Mus musculus: one gene and its partners. The protein of the gene in region 1 interacts with the protein of each later gene in a pairwise test. Links are inferred from orthologs where the notes say so. Each region holds a gene or a part of one and is shown in the gene's direction. Other genes may lie near its edges.

Region 1 (3,516 bases):
GGTTGGTTGGTTTTTCAGGCAGAGCCACTTGTACTCTTGGTAGCTGAGATACCTGGTCTGCCTGCCTCCATCATCCTATGCTTGGAGTATAGGCATGGGCCATCACATGTAGTTTATATGCTGCTGGGAATCAAACCCAGAGCCTCATGCATGCTAGACAAGCATTCTGCCAATTAAGGTACAGCTTAGTCTTCTTCCTTTTTTTTAACCTTGTGATGGCGTCTCTGTAGTCCAGACTGCCTCAGACTTCCAAGTGCTGGATTATAGATGTGAGCCACCATCCTTGGCCTGGTTAGTGGTAGTTTGGATAAGCCAAAAGATTACAGACAGGAGCAGTGGCACTGTCATTTAATCACGGCACTCAGGAGGCAGAGGCAGGTGGATCACTGAGTTTGAGATCAGCTTAGTCTATATATCAAGGTCTAGAACATCCAATGCAACATCATAGACATCTCAAAAAAATGCCATCATCATCCAATTATCCCTTCATGTCTGTGTGGCATTGACTCTAGGTTGTTTTCTTTTTTAAAGATAGATTTATTTATTTATTTATTATATGTAAGTACACTGTAGCTGTCAGACGCTCCAGAAGAGGGCATCCAATCTCATTACAGTTGGTTGTGAGCCACCATGTGGTTGCTGGGATTTGAACTCAGGACCTTCGGAAGAGCAGTCAATGCTCTTAACCTCTGAGCCATCTCTCCAGCCCCAACTCTAGGTTTTTTGCAAATACCAAAATCTGAGAATGCTCAAGTTCTTTATGACATTAAATGCTGTATATTTACATATAATCTATACACACCCTCCTGAATTCCTTCTATTATCTCTGGCTTATTTAATAATACTAATACTGTAAATGTATGAAGTGTGATATAAATAATTTTTATACTGTGCTGTTTAGGGGTGGCAACCACGGTAAGTCTCTATACTTTCAGTGAAAATTCAATCTTTTGTTCATTTTTGATAGAGATCTGTATAGTCTTAACTGTCCAGGAACTCCCTCTGTAGACCAGGCTGGCCTCAACTCGAGAGATTTACCTGCTCTGTCTCCCAAGTGCTAGGATTACACTACCTCACCCAGCTTTTATTTATTTATTTATTGTATTTTTTTGAGACAGGGTCTCACTATGTAACTGGCTGTCTTGGAATTCCCTCTGTAGATGAGGCTGGCCTAGAACTCACAGAGTTCTGCCTGCCTCTGCCTCCCTGGTGCTGGATCTAAAGGTGTGCACCACCATGCCCAGCTAGGACTTAATGTTTTTTTTTACATTCAAACTTCTTTCCATCTACAGGTTTAGAATTAAGAATGTAAATAGCAGCAATAAAAACAGAATAAGAGCCGGGCAGTGGTGGAGCACGCCTTTAATCCCAGAACTTGGGAGGCAGAGGCAGGCGGATTTCTGAGTTCGAGGCCAGCCTGGTCTACAAAGTGAGTTCCAGGACAGCCAGGGCCACACAGAGAACCTGTATCTTGAAAAACCAAAAAAGAAAAATAACTGAAAGCAAACGAGGAACGAGCACCAGCTTTTCCTTTAGTCATTTCTCGGGTCTCTGAACTGTTAGTGTTTTCCTTTCAGTTTTGAGCTTACTCATTTTTAGGGTCATTGTGTCTGTTCCCCCCATTCTTTTTTTCGAGACAGGGTTTTTCTGTGTAGCCCTGGCTGTCCTGGAACTCACTCTGTAGACCAGGCTGGCCTCGAACTCAGAAATCCACCTGCCTCTGCCTCCCGAGTGCTGGGACTAAAGGCGTGCGCCACCACGCCCGGCTCCCCCCATTCTTGATGGGAAGGAAGAAAAAGGGCTCTTGGGGGAAAGCAGCACAACAGCCCTGTCTGCTGTGCCTTGAGAAAGGTGACAGTTACAGGAACCTGGGGCAGGGCTGGGGCTGAGAAGGGGGCAGCTCAGGTAACTCCTGCCAAGCTCCCTGGCCGGCTGCCCCTACAGCGGCTCTCCCCGTGCTCTTAGAACCACACTCACTTTCCTTCCTGGATCCTGGCTTCCTTTGACTAATGATAACCTGAATCCTGGAGGGGGCTATTCCTGAGACAGGAAGTGTATCCTGTCCCCCTGGCTCCTGGGAAAATCCGAGGCTGGCTAGATTCCCAGTTGGTTAGTCTGGACGCCTGGAATCCTGGGAATCTTGGAAAAACATTTTCTGGAGCCATTCTGGTAGATCCCAGGGAGATCTGCTCATCCGACCCTTAGCTAGTTTGAAGGGTTTTTCCCTGCAGCCGGAAGCAGAGCTGATCCTAGAGGAGCTGGTGAGATGCCCACACCACAGGGAGACTGTGATCCCAGACCTGGCTCCTGGTACCGTGAGAACAGCGTGCGGGGCATTCTTCCTGTTGCCCACTGTCCGAGTTTGCATTCTACTGGTGTGATAAAACACTGTGACCAAAAGCAACTTGGGGAGGAAAGAGTTTACTCGGCTTAGACTTCCCAGGTCACAGTTCTTCCTTAAGGGAAATGGGGAAAGGAACCTGGCGACAGGAACCCGGGGGTAGGGACTGAAGCCGAGGCCACAGAGGGGTACTGCTTACTGGCTTGCCGGCGTGACTTGTTATATTTTTGGTTGTGAGCCTATCCTTTAAGGGCTGAGCCATCTCTCCGGCCCCTAGAATGCCTTCGTATGCCACCCAGAACTACCTTCCCCGGGATGGTTCCCCCCAATCTCTGCCCCTCATCAATTATTAATCAAGAGAATGCTCCCAGAGACTTGCTTCCAGGCCAGTATGATAGAGGCATTTTCTCAAGCGAGGGTCTCCTCCCAGGTGATGTTAGCTTGTGTCAAGTTGACAAGAATCTAACTCGTACAGTGAGGAAGGGCTTCTCTACAAAGTAAACTGTGTCAGAGTTCCCTCTGCTGTCCCTCCTCCCTGTGACCTCTCTGCTGACTTTAGTGTTCTCTCTACCTCTTGCTTACAGGCACTGAGAGTATGAGGCCCTGGCCTCTGAGGGCCACTCACTCGTGATCACTTCCACCACGGCAGAACCTTCTAAGCCTACCTCCTGCCGTGTGGTGATCTACCTGCAGCGGGAGATGTCAGGGGACACCTGTCTGTGTCCAGCCTCGGGGGCCAAGCCCAAGATCAGTGGCTTCAAGGGAGGCGGGCTGGGCAACAAGTACGTGCAGCTCAATGTGGGAGGCTCCCTGTACTACACCACAGTGCGGGCCCTCACCCGGCACGACACCATGCTCAAGGCCATGTTCAGTGGGCGAATGGAGGTGCTGACTGACAAAGAAGGTGAGCCATTGCATGCGGGCATGCTGGGTAAGGGAGAGGAGGAAGGGAGCATCTTGAGCTGACTCCAAGGCTGGGCTTGACCCAATAGATCTAGAATATATATCTTTTCCTCCCCCATACAAGTTCTAACAGAGCCTCAGAATTCCTTGAGATTGCACATAGAAAACTGTATGCTTGTGTATCATACTTAGGCTGGGTGTGGTTACATCTGTAACCCTAGCACTTAGAGGTGGGGACAGGAGGAGCAGAAATTTGAGGCCAGTGTCCACTA
Region 2 (4,208 bases), on another chromosome or scaffold:
GTGAAATAAAAATAAGTAAACCATTTTTAAAAATCTTTTTTTTTTTTTTTTGAGATAGGGTCTCACGTAACTCAACCTGGCCTCAAATGCCTCCTCTCCTACTTCCCAAGCGCTGAAATTACAGACATGTGTCGCCATATCCAGATAAACAAACACACAGGGCTAGGAGCCAAACTCTGGACGTGGCGCGTGCTAGGCAAGCATTCTACACTGTGGTGGTACATTGCCAGACCGCAACAGATTTTGGAAGTGTTATCCTGCCCTTATCAACAATGGATCAAAAGGGAATTCCGAGTTTTCTCCAGTGTTTTCAAGAAAAGTGGGCAGCCAAGCACCGTAGCTTACATCTGTAATGCCAGTACTTGGGAGGCTGGGACAGGACTATCTCCAGTTCGATGCCTGTCTAAGCATCTGGGTGAGCTAAAGGCCATTCCGGACTCGTGGGTGAGATCCTGTCTCAAAAAAATAACGTGGGCAAAGGGTCCTGTTTGAACTTGTAGCTCTCTTTGTCTCCCTTCATAATCATCTTGTGTAAAGGACAGTCATGGCAAAGTCCCTTGCCTTGCCTTTTGATCAGGTGGCATAGGAATCAAACCAGTTTCTTGCTCAACTCCCTTTACAGTTGGAATTTAAGCAATGTAGGACCCTATGAAAACCTGATCTGTCCTTTCAACCCCCGTCTCGTCTCCTTCTATCGAGGCCCACAAGTAGCTGCCTTGCTTTTCCTCTAAAGGGATTCTTCCCTTGAATTTCTCTTCAAGAAGTTTCTCGGACCTTTTCTTTCTTTCCTTCACAGCCCGCGGTGTCTCACACAATGTAAGAATAACTTTTACGTCTCTATTTCTCCCTAAGAAAGACCCCGTGGGGCTCAGATACTCACAGATCTAGCCAAGCCCCGAACCCCAGATCGTCCCAACAGGAGAAGAGCAGCCTGGCGCAGGCCACGGCTCGGCCTCCAGATCTTGGCCGCAGACATCACTATCGCCATCTTGGCTAATAACCACTCCTCCTTTCTCACAGGATAGACATACGGCTGTCCCACCAGATGCCTTATTCAAATAGCAGCACCGCTAGGCCAACACGCTATCTGCTTCTAACCACCTTGCGACAAAGACGCATAAATGAGTAAGGTGGCAATTTTTAGTCTCTAAAATTGCTCCGGTCGTCTGCTTCTAGTTGCTCCTAATTCAGGCAACTAAAAGGACAACTTAACTTGAACCTTCAGGGTTCAGGACCCGGAGCCCTGAGCAAAATGGGCCCTCTCCAAGTCCCTCCCCCTGTTCCCTGTTGTCCAATGGCTATGCCAGAATTGGGAGGTGGAGGTGGGCGGGACCAGATTGTTAGTAAACGCTGAGCCACGTGCTAGGGCCAACTCGGGCGTGCCCTAGACGGGCGCATGCGCAATAGGTACGCGGCCGGTAGAACTGCGCGCGCCGCTAAGCGGAAGCTACGGTGGGAGCCGCAGCGCGCGTGGTCAGCGGCTATGGAGGGCGCAAAGCGTGCAGACGCCAATTTACTCACTGACACCGGAACAGAGTCCAGCCCCCGAAGTCCAGTCTGCAGTCTCCGGCACTTTGCTTGTGAGCAAAACCTGCTGTCCCGGCCGGATGGATCTGCTTCTTTTCTTCAAGGTACGAGCCTCACCAAGTTTAACTCAGCGCGCGCCATCCTCACCGAAGAAGGGTTTTTGAAGAGCGGTTACTGTGTAGTATGTAACCAAGTACGCCCGCCTCCTTGAACTTATTTCTAGATGTTGAGTATACCCACCTCCCGTCTCGAGAAGAAATGAGTTGGCCAGCCTGGTAAATCCCTCTCAGAGGAGATCGAGAGCAAGACCACTCTCATAAGAGTGACTATCCCAGAATAGGTATTTCACCAAGGCAGATATTACCCTTCTCTAGATTTCTTTCTTTCTTTTATCTTTCTTTCAAGACTTATTTTATTTATATAAGAGCACTGTAGCTGTCTTCAGACACACCAGAAGAGGGCATCAGATCCCGTTACAGATGGCTGTGAGCCACCATGTGGTTGCTGGGAATTCAACTCAGGACCTTTGGAAGAGCAGTCAGTGCTCATAACCACTGAGCCATCTCTCCAGCTCCCCTTGACTAGATTTCTTGGGTTTTTGTTGTTGTTGTTGTTGTTGTTGTTTTCACTTTGTTGTTGAACTCACTTTGTAGACCAGGCTGGCCTTGAACTCAGAAATCCGCCTGCTTCTGCCTCCCGAGTGCTGGGATTAAAGGCGTGCGCCACCACGCCTGGCTTTGACTAGATTTCTTAAAAAACACTTCTAGATCCATACATCACCGGTTGAGGCTAAGGTGTTTATTTGCATAAATACCCTTTGAGACAGACACATCACCACCACTGGTTTAAATATAATTACTGTGGCAGATGATACATCTAAGTAAGTGCTCTTCAAATTAAATGTGATCTTCCCATCCTGGGCTGAGAAGCATCTCCCCTTCCCCGGTCCCATCATTTAAGAAAACGTGCCTTTCCTTGGTATACACATTTCATCAGACTAAATGAATAGGGAGAAAAGAGAAGTCTTGTGGCTGAGACCCACACAACCCTATATCCCAGTCGGGCCAGCCAACTTTGAGAGGTCATGAGAGGGTGAGAAACTACCAGAGTAGACAGATGAGAGGGCAGAGACAGAGTTGACAATGGTGAGTTTGTTTGAGATGTTAAAGGCTGATCACCTTATGGCTAATAAGCTAGAGGTCATTGCTTATAGTGGTGGGTCAGAAAGAGCGAGAAAAAAAACAGTTGAGACAAGTCTCCAGGCATTTTCCTGCGAAGGAATCAGATAGATGGGGCAAGAGCTGACGACTGATAGAGCTTAAGAAAGGAGAAAACTGGCAGGTCAGTGGTGGCACACACCGTTAGTCCCAGCACTTGAGACACAGATGCAGGGTCTCTATGAGTTTGAGGCCAGCCTGGTCTATAGAGGGAGTTCCAGGACAGCCAGGAAACCCTGTCTTGGGGAAAAAAAAAAAGGGGAGACAGCTCGGGGCTGGAGAAATGGTTTCTCTTACAGAGAACAAAGTTGAGTTCCCAGCACCCATTCAGGCAGCTTTCAAGCACTTGTAACTTGTGGGGAGCCAGGATATTGGAAGCCCTGTTATGGCCTCTGCAGGGAACTATACACACACACACACACACACACACACACACACACACACATAACTTAAAAAGTAAAATAAATACTAGGGGGAAAAGAAGAGAATTTCTGCAGCCACATCATCGAGATGGTGGGAAGAAAGAGACTCCCTTGCTCGCTGAGAGCACAGTCTATCTAGCAGTACAGGAATGTAGCTCTAGTAAGCACCTGAGTCTATTGGGTTACCTCTGGTTTCATTGGAGAAGCACCCACAGATGTTTAGTGTTCTCATCCCAGGCTGGCTCTCAGCTTAGCTCATTGCTGAAATCAGCCTCCCCTATCTCTTGGGATATAAGAAATAGAGAGGGAACCTTCCCATGTTCTAAAACCCTAAACTCACAGGGCCCTAGTGCAAGCTGGAGACTTGGCAGACTTTCAAAAAGAATGTTGCAGACACTTCTGACCTCAAAGGCTCCTGTAAGAACACCCGATGGAGGGGGCTGTGGCTGCGGCAGGCAAGCAGTGCAAATGATGTGTATGTATGATAATGACACAATATCCCTATTACTTGACATTTGTCCTCACTAGGAGTCTCTTGCTGTGACAAGGACATAACCAGAATCAACGTGGCAGAACCTGGCTTTTCATGGCTTGTTCAGCCTGCTTTCATAGATAACCTAGGACCACCTGCCCAGTGGTGGCGCTGCCCACAGTGAGTGGGGGCCCTTCTATATCAGTTGTTGATCACTAAAATGCCCTACAGGATCATGCAGCAAGACCCTGTCTCAAGAAAAAGAAAATGCCCCCACAGACCTGCCTGCAGGCCAGTCTGATGGAGGCAATTCCTCATTTGAGTTTCCTCTTTCCAGGTATGGCTAAGTTGACAAAATGCAAAGCAAAAGAAGCAACTAGCCGGCACAGTAGCTTACCTTAAAGGCAAAAACAAACAAACAAACCAAAAACACCTGATGGTACAAAACCCCTAATCCCAGTACGGGGGGAGGGAGGGCTGGTAGAGGCCAGAGGAACAACAGTTCGTGCCCTGCTCCCTTAGCTACATAGATAGCATGGTCAGGGCCAGCTTTGACCATATAGAACCTGA
Region 3 (4,010 bases), on another chromosome or scaffold:
AAGTAGGGTCTGAGGATGTCAATGTTGGCATACAAGCTGAAGGCCCTGGAAGCCTGTCTCTTCCCTGCCTGCCACATCTGAAGGGAAATGGGTATGATGAGACTCTTGGCTCTAGATTGTTATTCAGTCTCGGCGAGATTTACGTGTGGGTCTAAGTGGAAAACCTCGATCAATTTAGGACATGCATAGGTCCTTTTTTTTTTCCCCATTGGCTTACCTGATCTGCTACCTGCCGGCTCAGTTGTCCTTTAAAGCCTTTCATGCCAAGAAACTCCCCATCCTCTTCTTCTGCAGCAGCTGCATCAGCATCTACTTCTTCCTCCCGCAGGCGCTGGTGCAGCTCACCCATGTCCTCGAAGCTGGAGCCTGAGGTATCGTCCATGTTCTCCATATCAATCACAGCCGAACCCCCACCCTGTGAAGACAACGGCTCGGAGAGTGAGGGGCCCTTCCATTGCATCCTCCCCGTTCTCCGCTCAGCTGACAACTTGAGGCTTTGATCTTCCACTGCCGAGGACATGGCTTGGAACTGCCACTCTTTCAGTGGTGGCAACTCTTGGTCGCGTCACTTTTGTGGTCCTGGAAACCCTACTATTTATTTTCAATCCACGTTGTTTTCCTACTTTCCACCTCAAAGCTCCAAAGAGTTGCAAAAGAGCCCATCTGCCATTCCCAATTCTCAAACAAGCCTATTTTTAGGGGGTGCCAGTGGATCCTAGCCTCCAGCCCCCACAGAGAGCCGAGGCCCGCGGGAGCCCTAGTTTGTCCCTTTCACGCCAGCACAAGAGCTACACCCTTCCCCGGGAAGACTCAAAGGGGACAGGCTGCGTTTCAGCGGAGCCGACCTCTAGGCCCCGCGAGAGAGAACAGCAGCCACCGTCCGGACGCCGCCAGCCCGGGGCTGCTGGCAGCAGGCGCGCTCCATACCTGGATGTTTTCTTCGAAGCCTCCCCATTCCGGGCCAGCACCATTTCGGACGCCGCTGGCCGGCGCCGCCGGAGTCGCCATGTCCCTCGAGGCTTCCCGTCGCTGGAGCACGCGCGCGTGGGAAGAGCGTGCGACCCGGGTCCGAGGGAGGGAGAGGTTCAGAGGGGCGACCGCCCGGGCAAGGTGGGGATCCGCCGGGACGCCGAAGGGAGAAACCCGGATGTTTGGCCCCACTTGACGTCCGGAAGTGAAGGACGTGGACAGAGGCGGGGCAAGATCTCGCGACATTCAAGATTGCGGGAGCCCGAGCGTTGCTGCGGAGACGCAGGCGCGGACTCGCCTCCTTTTACAGCGAGTGGCGGAAGATGGCGGCGGCTCAGGCGGTGGAGGAGATGCGGACTCGCGTGGTTCTCGGAGAGTTTGGGGTTCGCAATGTAAGAGATCGGGGCGCGGGAAGGATGAGGGCGGCACGGGGAAGTAGAGGCCTGGTGTGAAGGCTGGCCACACTGCCCTTTCTGTTGGCTCTAGGTCCACACCACGGACTTTCCCGGTAACTACGCCGGTTATGATGATGCCTGGGACCAGAACCGCTTCGAGAAGGTGGGTAGAGCTGAAGGTGCCCAGTCGGCCCGAGGGGCCAGACCTCGCAGGTTGGGGTGGGGGTCGCTGTTTCCATACAACACGCTTGAGCTCCATGGACGGGTCAGACACGGTGGTTGCTCTCGGTGGGATAATGGACCACACAGACAAGTTATTCCAGAATAGTAAGATAGCGGTGAAGATGGCTGGGATATGGTCAGGAATCATTGATGCACTGAATCCAGCTAACTGAAGGGACGTAGTTAAAGGTCAGTGAAGGGAATGGCATTTGAATTAAGCTTTGAACTATGAATAAAAGTTGAGTAGTGAAGGCCTGATTGGAGCTTCATTATATATGATTTTTTTAAAATTCACTTTGAAACTGTTTCTGTTTAGCCCTGGCACTCTCTCTATAGTCCAGGCTGGACTTGAACTCAGCCATCTACCTGCTTCTGTCTCTGCCTCCCATGCACTGGGATTAAAGGCATGAGCCACCACGCCCAATTTAGAATTTTTGAGTAGACTGATAACATTTTGCAATCTTGATAGCCAGGAGGGAATGAATTCTGGTGAATCTGCCAGCTAGTGTATGCAGGCTGAAATTGGGGGCATAGATGAACTCCAGACAGTACTAACGGAGTAAGGCAGGGAGAACTAGACGATTTGCACCAGTGCTCTGGGGAGGCAGTGTGTGAGAGAAAGGACTTTGTAACTTGAGGACCCTAAAACTTTCTTGATATGCGTGTTTGCCTGCATGTGTATTTGTGCACCACTGTGTGTTAGTGATCCCTGCAGTGTGAGGAGAATGTTAGGTCCCACCAGGTGCTGGGAACCAAACCCAGTTCTTCTGCAAGGGCAGTTAAGTGCTCTTAATAGCTGAGCCATTTCTCCAGTGGCACTGGGGAACTGTTGCTGGCTGTGTCGTTTGCCAAGCAGGAGAACAAGAATGAGGGTACACTCAGGTGCCTGCTTGTGAAGTCTATGTGCTTGCTTGAGCCAGGAGCATGGTGGAGGTCAGCCAGGGGATTAGAACCTAGGAGACAGGAACGTTTACTGTGTGGGTGGAAGGGGAAATTTAGAAAGAAGAGCAGATAAGGAAATTGGTGTTCAAAATCCAAGGGAATGTAGTTGAGAAAAGTAGGTATTAAAAAATAACGACAACAGACATGCAAGTATCAAACGGTCTAAGTAGTGTGGGAAGTTCTGCTTTTTGTATAGTAACTTCTCTGGGTGGTTTGTGGAAAATCTGGGAAGATTGGGCATAGTGGCGCACACCTTTAATCCCAGTACTTGGTAGGCAGAGGTAGGTGGATCTTTTGAGTTTGAGGCCAGCCTGGTCTACAGAGTTCCAGGACAGCCAGGACTACATGGAGAAACCTGGCCTTGGAAAAACCTAAAAAACAAGAAACACACAGCCTTGCCCCCAAGAACAGGACTGGAGACAAAATGTCTACTGAGCACCATGACTTTAGGGTGAGGGGATAGTGCAGGGTAGGAGCCAGGCAGGAGTCATGCAGGAGCTTCCCTCCTTCTAGAATTTCCGTGTGGACGTGGTGCAAATGGATGAAGACACGCTGGAGTTCGACATGGTGGGGATTGATGCTGCCATCGCCAATGCTTTCCGGAGAATCCTGTTAGCTGAGGTATTAGAGGACGTGGGCTGGAGGGTAGAAATTGTATCAATTTGTAGACGCTTTTCTCAAAGCCATCCCTCTGGGGCAGGTAGGGTGGTTCACACCTATGACAGTCTGGGCTACATAGTAAACATTGTATCAAGAATCTGAGCCACACGCCTTTAGTCCCAGCACCCCAGCACTCGGGAGGCAGAGGCAGGTGGATCTCTGAGTTCCAGGCCAGCCAGGGCTATACAGAGAAACCCTGTCTCAAAAAACCAAAAAAAAAAAAAAGAATCTGAAGGGCAAAATGAAAAAGTGCTGCCTCTTCCTTTTCCAGGCAGGGGGATGGGTGGAGGTCAGTTGTCTGCTTTGCCTCCTTGGGCAGGTGCCGACAATGGCCGTGGAGAAGGTCTTGGTGTATAACAACACGTCCATAGTCCAGGATGAGATCCTTGCTCACCGCCTGGGGCTCATCCCCATCCTCGCTGATCCTCGTCTCTTTGAATATCGGAACCAAGGTGAGGCTGAGAGCTTGGGATTATGAGTTAGGCAGAACTGACCTGGAATGCATGGGCTCAGGTCCCAGGCCTACTGCTGGGGCTTTAGTTGGCATCTTGTACATCTGCCTTCGCCTGGGAGAACAGCTGTCCCCACCCCACCTCTAGTCTCACTGTGTACACCCTCGGAACACAGCGCTAGCAGCACTCAGGCTCTCTCCACCTTTACATTCTTCCTGGGGATTGAACTTGGGTCTTCAGGTTGGAGCAAGCATGCACCCTCACTCTGTGAGCCTTCTTGTCAGCCTGGTATTAGAGTTGATATGGCCAGGCACGGTGGTGGACAGCTTTACTCCAAGCACTGGCAGAGGCAGGCAGATGTGTCCTGAGT
Region 4 (4,093 bases), about 37 Mb from region 1:
AGATGCCATCTTCCAATTGAAGTCTGCCTCTCTGTCTAATGTCCCCTACTGCTTTCCGGATCGCAACTCAGAACTGAGCTTGACCCCACCCCCACCCCCCAAGGAAGTTTCTACTCTGAAGGGCAAATGCCAGGGACCTATTTTTCATTCTAACAGAAAACAGAGTTGGGGCTGGCTAACAGGCCCACGTCCAGGAAAAATAGAATCTGTGATCCTCCAGCTAGGAAATTTTCATCACACTTGCCCGTTGGTAATAATGGCATTAATCTGAGGGCAATAAGCAACGAAGAAATGAGGGTGCAAATGTAGTTTAGTCACGTACATCAAACCTTCACTTCCATCTCCAGCCCCACCCATGCCCAGGTGTGCTGTAATCCCAGTTCTTTGGAGCCTGGGGCTTGGAGACAAGATGGAAGCAAAGTCTACTCTTTTGTAGCCAGGATCTGCTTTGGACCATCCCTGGAAAATTTTGAGGGGAGTCTGCAAAGTATTTGTTCTGGAATCTCAAAGGCTCCAGGTCCCCAGGTCTTTGATGTTCTGACTAGTCAGACGCTTGGCCATCTTGAGCTGAGATGTAAGAAGTCTGCCTAGCCTGCTTCTTATAAAACCTAAAGGGCACAGAGTTCTCACGGAGCAACCTTGGTTCTCAAGCATCCAAACTAAGACTAAAACTCTTGCTCTTGGTTGATGTTGGGCATGGATTGATCACTGGAACTTAAACCCCAGAGGTGGGGGCCAGGGAAAGGTGAAGTACACAAACCATTCTGCTGTGATTCAGGTCCCTGGTACCAAACATAGTACATGACCCCTGACCCTTGCCCTAAAAACCCTTACTGCCTCCATCCTCCACCTCCACCACAGCACGGCAAAGCTGGGCCCCTCCCTGACGCTCCTTGTGACCCTAAGATTGTGTTTGGGGTTTGATGGATGTTCTGTTTTGTTACCAGGGTCTTGCCATGTAGCTCTGGATTGCCTTGTAGACTAAACCGTCCTTAAACTCCGTGTTCTGGGATTAAACTACTATCATGTCTAGATGGCCTGAAGATCCGTCTGCCCGGCTGTCAATCCATCCACCATTCTCTCTCTCCTTTTCTCCTCTTTCCCTCCCCTCTCCCTTCCTCTCTCCTTCGACGCATCCCCGCTGCGGCGGCTGCGCAGTGGAGGGTTAAAGCCTCCAGCTCTAGAAATCCGGAGGGAAGCCCAGGAGGCGCCCAGTAACCACGCCCAATCCCGTCCTGGTCCCGCTCACTCCGTTTCCTGGGGCGGGGCTAGAGAGACTTCCGCCCTGAACCAGGAAGCGGTGCAGGGAGTGTGGTAAGGGGGCGTGCCTGCCTTCAGTTCCGAAAAGCCACAGCGTCTCGCCCGGGTTGAATTTTGGTTTTCAGATCCGGCTCAGACAGGATCCTGAGACCCCTGGCCACCCCCACAGCTCATCCCCAGCTGCAGACGCGGATCTCAGGACAAGACTGGGTTTGCTGCCGCTCTGTCGCCGCCGGGACAGGTCAGGATCCAGGCCTTGTGGCCTCTACCGGAGCTCCCAACTCCGCCGCCCCAGCCATGGCACAGAAACCCAAGATAGACCCCCACGTCGGGCGGCTAGGCTACTTGCAGGCGCTGGTCACAGAGTTCCAGGAAACCGAGAGCCAAGGTAAGAGGTGTAGCGTGGGCACGAGGGACCCAGGAGGGTTCTGACGGCAGCCGCCGCCGCACAGGTCCGACCCCAGGGCTGCTTCCCATTGCAGATGCCAAGGAGCAAGTCCTCGCCAACCTCGCCAACTTCGCTTATGACCCGGGCAACTACCAGTACCTACGGCAACTACAAGTCCTGGACTTATTCCTTGATTCTCTGTCGGAAGAGAATGAAACCCTAATCAAGTTTGCTATTGGTAAGAGTTAGGCTGCCCCCAACCCCCGTGCCCGCGCGCCTCCCCCCAAGTTATAGACTAGAGCGACTTGAGAGTCAGGCATGCCACTCGCCTATAAAACTAGCATTACGGGAGGCTGAAGCAGGAGGATGGTTGCGACTTGGGGGCCAGCCTGGGATTCAGAGTAAGACACTGTCACTAAACAAACTAGTGTTTGGGATGGGATCTCATCTAGGGCAGAGCTGCCGTGTGTGGACCACCTACCTTCTCCTCCTCCACACATTATCGGGGTCACAGCTCATTCCAAACAAGTCGTGTCTTTCTTCCTCTTAGAAAAGAGATAATAAGTGAGGAAATGGGGTGAAACCTCTTTGAAAGAAGTTTAGTTTTTTGTTTGTTTGTTTGCTTGATTTTGATTTTTTTGAGACAGGATTTCTCTGTGTAGCCCTGGCTATTCTGGAACTCACTCTGTAGACCAGGCTGGCCTTGAACTCAGAAATCTGCCTGCCTCTCTGCCTCCCAAATGCTGGGATTAAAGGTGTGCGCCACCACTGCCCGGCTGGAGCTTGCCCTTGTATTGTTTACTGTCAAGAGGTGCAAAGGTAGCTTAGAACTCCTATAGTTGGGTTATTGTAAGGCCGTTTGAATTATTCAAGGTAGACTCTTTTACATTTGCTGTGTAGGTGTGTGTTTGCATGTGTGTGTGGATGAGTGTGAGTATGCATGTGCACCAGGCTGTATGCATGAAATTTGTCAAGAGTCAGTTCTCCCCGAGTACAGTGGTACATGCCTTTCATCCCCAGTACTGGGAAGACAGAGGTAGGTAGATCTTTCCGAGTTCCAGGCCAGCCTAGCGTGAGTACTGAGTTCTGGACCATCTAGGGCTATGTGGTAAGATGTCGTCTCTAAAAACTAAGGTAGTCGTTGTTGTTGTGTTCTCCTCTTCCAGTTGCTAAGGGAAGATCTCTGTGCCTTCAGAGTAGGGCAGTGCACTCCATAGCTGGGCCGTGAGCCTCCAGCTAATGGGGAGAGAGTGCTGGGGTTCCAGATGCTCGACACTGCATCTGGTTTTCTTATGTAGGTCCCTGGAACCGAATTCAGGTCATCAGAATTGTGTGGCAAGCTCTTTTACCTACTAAGCCATCTCCTCTGCCCCATGATAGATAGTCATTATTGGGCACCCTATAAGGAAGGTACTGGCCCAGGTTCTGAGGAGATGGTGAACAGGTTGGGGATTGTATTCTGGAAGGGGAGCTAGGTGGCGAATAAAACAAGCAAAGTAGAGATAAACAGGAACTCAGATGGAGCCATAGGAGGTGTGTCACGCTACTTACGCTACTTCCATTTCAGCCATCTTGGATATGCGATGTAGACAAAGCAGCTAAGCAGGAAGCTGTTAGAGGGAAGCTGATGTGTTAGAGGGAAGCTGATGTGTTAGAGGGAGGCCGATGTGTTAGAGGGAAGCTGATGTGTTAGAGGGGAAGCTGATGTGTTAGAGGGAGGCCGATGTGTTAGAGGGAGGCCGATGTGTTAGAGGGAAGCCGATGTGTTAGAGGGAAGCTGATGTGTTAGAGGGGAAGCTGATGTGTTAGAGGGAGGCCGATGTGTTAGAGGGAGGCCGATGTGTTAGAGGGAAGCTGATGTGTTAGAGGGGAAGCTGATGTGTTAGAGGGAGGCCGATGTGTTAGAGGGGAAGCTGATGTGTTAGAGGGAAGCTGATGTGTTAGAGGGAGGCTGATGTGTTAGAGGGAGGCCGATGTGTTAGAGGGGAAGCTGATGTGTTAGAGGGGAAGCTGATGTGTTAGAGGGAGGCCGATGTGTTAGAGGGAGGCCGATGTGTTAGAGGGAGGCCGATGTGTTAGAGGGGAGGCTGATGTGTTAGAGGGGAAGCTGATGTGTTAGAGGGAGGCTGATGTGTTAGAGGGAGGCTGATGTGTTAGAGGGGAAGCTGAAGTGTTAGAGGGAGGCCGATGTGTTAGAGGGAGGCCGATGTGTTAGAGGGGAAGCTGATGTGTTAGAGGGAAGCTGATGTGTTAGAGGGGAAGCTGATGTGTTAGAGGGAAGCTGATGTGTTAGAGGGAGGCCGATGTGTTAGAGGGGAAGCTGATGTGTTAGAGGGAAGCTGATGTGTTAGAGGGGAAGCTGATGTGTTAGAGGGAAGCTGATGTGTTAGAGGGAGGCTGATGTGTTAGAGGGAGGCCGATGTGTTAGGGATATTTTAAGTGAAG
Region 5 (3,500 bases), on another chromosome or scaffold:
TTCTACCCAAAGTAGTCAGACTAACGTTATCTTCTTTAAGTCTGGGAGTTTGTGAGCTTTGCCACTAACCCAAAGGAGTGACTAATGTACATATCACTTTAAACAACTAGTGGGATTTTGATGAGATGAGACCCATGGATCCTTCTGGTGAGTCATAGGTTACATCCTTAGAAACGGGGTCATTGATCATAGATGGGTAAGGTGGTTTGAAATGTTGGTATCCAAATGGGAAACTTAACTCTAGATAATTTTGTTGGTTTGAGGGTTCTCTCTATTGTCCTCTGAGGCAAGTTCCCTGTCTGTGTGGGCCATGATGATGTGCTTGGCTTCCTCCTGGTATGCCACTTCAGAATATGGGCCCAGTTCTGACCAGATAACTGGTATTCCTGTGTGGCTGGGTATTGATGCTTGAATAGAGGTGCTTGAGGCCTCACCCTCAAGAAAAATGTCTTTCCCTAGGGAACGACACAGGGGAGGTGTGGCTCCCGGGTTTCAGGTGGTACATCTCAATGCTGTGACTGTGGACAATCGCCTGGACAACCTGCAGCTGGTACCATGGGGCTGGCGACCCAAAGCTGAAGAGACCTCCAGCAAACAAAGGTGGGTCTTCTCTGGTCAGCACCTGATACTTGAAGGGCTGTCCCATGTTTCTGTGTTCCTGTTTTGTGCTTTTACTATGAGTGCTTCGGTACCTTGATACCCAACCCACCACTGGCCATGTGTGAGAATTCTTCTTCATGGGAAAGGGAAGAATCTTTCATTTATGTAGGTAGCCCTTGCTGTTTAGGACTTGCTATGAATACCAGACTTTGAAATCAGCAGTCCTCCTCCTGCCTCCCCTGTGCTAGGATTAAAGATGCATATATACCTCCATGCTTAGCCAGAAGGATTTTTATGATTAATTTTTGGGATTGACCTTGTAGTAATTGACTCTAAGAATATTTTAGCTGATGTGATGGAATGAGACCATGCCCCAGGACCACACTGAGACAGGGTGGGTCTCCTTTGGTGAATAGCTTTCCCTGAGCAGAGGAAGTAGTAGGACAGTGTAGTTTAGGGATGTGACCTCTTGGCTTCTCAGTTCCCTGTGGTCCTGAAAACAGCATTGTACAAGCTTTTCTATCCTGGAGGCCATGTTCCTACTAACCCTCAAACTCACCACAGTGAATTTCAGGAAGCCCTGGAGAGGTGCTGGAGGGACCAGCAGGAAATGATTAGGGAAATTTGACCTCATAGTCCCAAGCCACACAGGTATCATTGTTCTGCTCATAGGCGTCCCCTGAGGGCGCCTGGAAGTATCTGTACAAATAGCTTTTTTTTTTTTTTTTTTTTTTTTTTATTTTGGTTTTTCGAGACAGGGTTTCTCTGTGTAGCCTTGGCTGTCCAGGAACTCACTCTGTAGACCACGCTGGCCTTGAACTCAGAAATCCACCTGCCTCTGCCTCCCAAGTGCTAGGATTAACAGCATGCACCACCACTGCCTGGCTATATACAAGTTCTTTGTTTGCTTGTTTGGTTTTTTTGAGACAGGGTTTTTCTGTATAGCCCTGGCTGTCCTGGAACTCACTCTGTAGACTACGCTGGCCTCGAACTCAGAAATCCACCTGCCTCTGCCTCCCGAGTGCTGGGATTAAAGGCGTGCGCCACCACGCCCAGCTCAGTCGGTGCTCTTAACCACTGAGCCATCTCGCCAGCCCTGTATACAAGTTCTTAAGTCTTTTTTTTTTTTTTTCCTGAGACAGGGTTTTTCTGTATAGCCCTGGCTGTACTCACTTTGTAGACCAGGCTGGCCTCAAACTCAGAAATCCGTCTGCCTCTGCCTTTCGAGCGCTGGGATTAAAGGTGTGCGCCACCACGCCCGTCTAGTTCTTAAGTCTTTAAGCAACCTTCTTTGGCATTTACCACCTCAACGGATACTAATAGTATTGACAAGGTTGTCATTACAGACAGTGGGTAGATGTTTGTAGTGAATGTCTTCAGGTGATGCTAGTGCCCCATGTACTGTAGGGAGGAGATGTGCGAGTATGTGTCTGTACTTGATAGTGCTGGTCTCCAGGTCTTTAGAAGACAGGTGCCAAGCTGCTTTACTCTGGCAGAATGTGAAGGCAGCCCTAGGAGGGTCTCAGACCTCTCATCTCCTTCCTTTGTTGTCTACCTGATGTCAGAGGTTTTGAGTCTTCAGTTCTGTTTTCACCACTCCTGTCTGTCCATCCTTTCTTCCATCTTTCTTTTGAGATTTGTATATCTTGGGCTGACCTCAACTTGCTGTGTAGCTGAGAAACTGAGACTGATGTTGCCCTTCCTCCTGTGAGGCAGACATCCTATTCAGTAGGGTCCTGTGCTGAATGCTCTATTTAGTCTCCTGAACACACCTTATGATCATGATAGGACCACAGTTAAAGCCTATTCAGAAAGGGGCAGTTACAGTTCTAGGGGTAGAGGGCTGAGGTGTTTGGTCAGGTGGCCTGTTGGACCTTTTCTCAGCCAGTTTTCAGAGATAAGTTTGGTGGAGGCTGTGCCCTTCAGGTAGGTAGTAGTACATACCTTTTACTAGCAGAGGCAGGACCAGATTGGACCAGGATCCATGAGCATGTCTGGTATGCCAATGTAAGGGGAAGTAGAAGATGGGGATAATGAATGTGTGTGTTGGGAGGGAAGTGCTTGGTACTGTGGGCATTTGTGTCAGAGGAGGATGGCCAGTACTTGTGAGGGAGAGTGCGTTATTCATAAGGCTCAATTAAGCAGCTCCTGTGGAGAAATCAGCTATGCCTCTCCAAAGTCCCACACAGTCTGCTGCGCTCACCTGTGAGCAACCAGCAGTCAGTTTAGGGCTGTCCTAGTTAGGTTTCTGTTAGTATGATAAAATACCATGACCAAAAGCAATGTCACAATCTATTGTTGAGAGAATTAAGAGCAGAAATTCAAGCAGGAGTCTGGAAGCAGGAACTAAACCAGAGACCACTTGGGAGCACTGTTTATTGGTGTTCTCTCCATTGCTTGCTCAGTTTGCTTTCTTACACAATCCAGACCAACTTGTCTTAAGAGTGGTACTGCCCACAATGATTTGGTCCCTCCTATATTAATCCAGAAAATGCTCCACAGACATACACACAAGCCAGTCCGATGGGGTTAATTTCTCAGTTGATTTTTTTTTTTTTTTTTGTATTGTTTTGTTTTGTTTTTTTTCGAGACAGAGTTTCTCTGTGTAGCCCTGGCTGTCCTGGAACTCACTTTGTAGACCAGGCTGGCCTTGAACTCAGAAGTCCACCTGCTTCTGCCTCCCAAGTGCTGGGAGGAAAGGTGTGTGCCACCACCACCTGGCTTCTTTCAACATTTTGTTTTTAAGAATTTATTTATGAGCCAGGCATGGAGAGATGGCTCAGTGGTTAAGAGCACTGACTGCTCATCTTAAAAAAAAAAAAGGTTTTATTTATTTATATTATATATATATATGTGTGTGTGTGTGTCAGTACACTGTTGCTGTCTTCAGACACACCAAA

The links.
Region 2: the proteins of Tnfaip1 (region 1) and Exosc5 interact in binary tests that used the Homo sapiens proteins (3 or more experiments, as listed by UniProt). The two-hybrid records come from large-scale screens. The link is inferred for Mus musculus from reciprocal best matches to the Homo sapiens genes TNFAIP1 and EXOSC5.
Region 3: the proteins of Tnfaip1 (region 1) and Polr1c interact in binary tests that used the Homo sapiens proteins (3 or more experiments, as listed by UniProt). The link is inferred for Mus musculus from reciprocal best matches to the Homo sapiens genes TNFAIP1 and POLR1C.
Region 4: the proteins of Tnfaip1 (region 1) and Armc7 interact in binary tests that used the Homo sapiens proteins (3 or more experiments, as listed by UniProt). The link is inferred for Mus musculus from reciprocal best matches to the Homo sapiens genes TNFAIP1 and ARMC7.
Region 5: the proteins of Tnfaip1 (region 1) and Zmynd19 interact in binary tests that used the Homo sapiens proteins (3 or more experiments, as listed by UniProt). The two-hybrid records come from large-scale screens. The link is inferred for Mus musculus from reciprocal best matches to the Homo sapiens genes TNFAIP1 and ZMYND19.

The regions. Positions count from the first base shown.
Region 1 is NC_000077.6:78,529,757-78,533,272, reverse strand, and holds part of Tnfaip1 (BTB/POZ domain-containing adapter for CUL3-mediated RhoA degradation protein 2), read left to right. Parts: intron 1-2,925; 5' UTR 2,926-3,040; coding exon 3,041-3,245; intron 3,246-3,516. UniProt on the Homo sapiens protein: Substrate-specific adapter of a BCR (BTB-CUL3-RBX1) E3 ubiquitin-protein ligase complex involved in regulation of cytoskeleton structure.
Region 2 is NC_000073.6:25,657,753-25,661,960, forward strand, and holds the start of Exosc5 (exosome complex component RRP46), read left to right. Parts: upstream 1-1,400; 5' UTR 1,401-1,483; coding exon 1,484-1,631; intron 1,632-4,208. Other genes in the region: Bckdha (2-oxoisovalerate dehydrogenase subunit alpha, mitochondrial), read right to left, coding at 881-988. UniProt on the Homo sapiens protein: Non-catalytic component of the RNA exosome complex which has 3'->5' exoribonuclease activity and participates in a multitude of cellular RNA processing and degradation events.
Region 3 is NC_000083.6:46,245,246-46,249,255, reverse strand, and holds the start of Polr1c (DNA-directed RNA polymerases I and III subunit RPAC1), read left to right. Parts: upstream 1-1,210; 5' UTR 1,211-1,292; coding exon 1,293-1,361; intron 1,362-1,455; coding exon 1,456-1,527; intron 1,528-3,041; coding exon 3,042-3,149; intron 3,150-3,507; coding exon 3,508-3,640; intron 3,641-4,010. Other genes in the region: protein YIPF3, read right to left, coding at 1-77, 218-415, 928-1,008. UniProt on the Homo sapiens protein: DNA-dependent RNA polymerase catalyzes the transcription of DNA into RNA using the four ribonucleoside triphosphates as substrates.
Region 4 is NC_000077.6:115,474,380-115,478,472, forward strand, and holds the start of Armc7 (armadillo repeat-containing protein 7), read left to right. Parts: upstream 1-1,287; 5' UTR 1,288-1,557; coding exon 1,558-1,648; intron 1,649-1,742; coding exon 1,743-1,886; intron 1,887-4,093. UniProt on the Homo sapiens protein: As a component of the minor spliceosome, involved in the splicing of U12-type introns in pre-mRNAs.
Region 5 is NC_000068.7:24,952,777-24,956,276, forward strand, and holds part of Zmynd19 (zinc finger MYND domain-containing protein 19), read left to right. Parts: intron 1-459; coding exon 460-600; intron 601-3,500. UniProt on the Homo sapiens protein: May be involved as a regulatory molecule in GPR24/MCH-R1 signaling.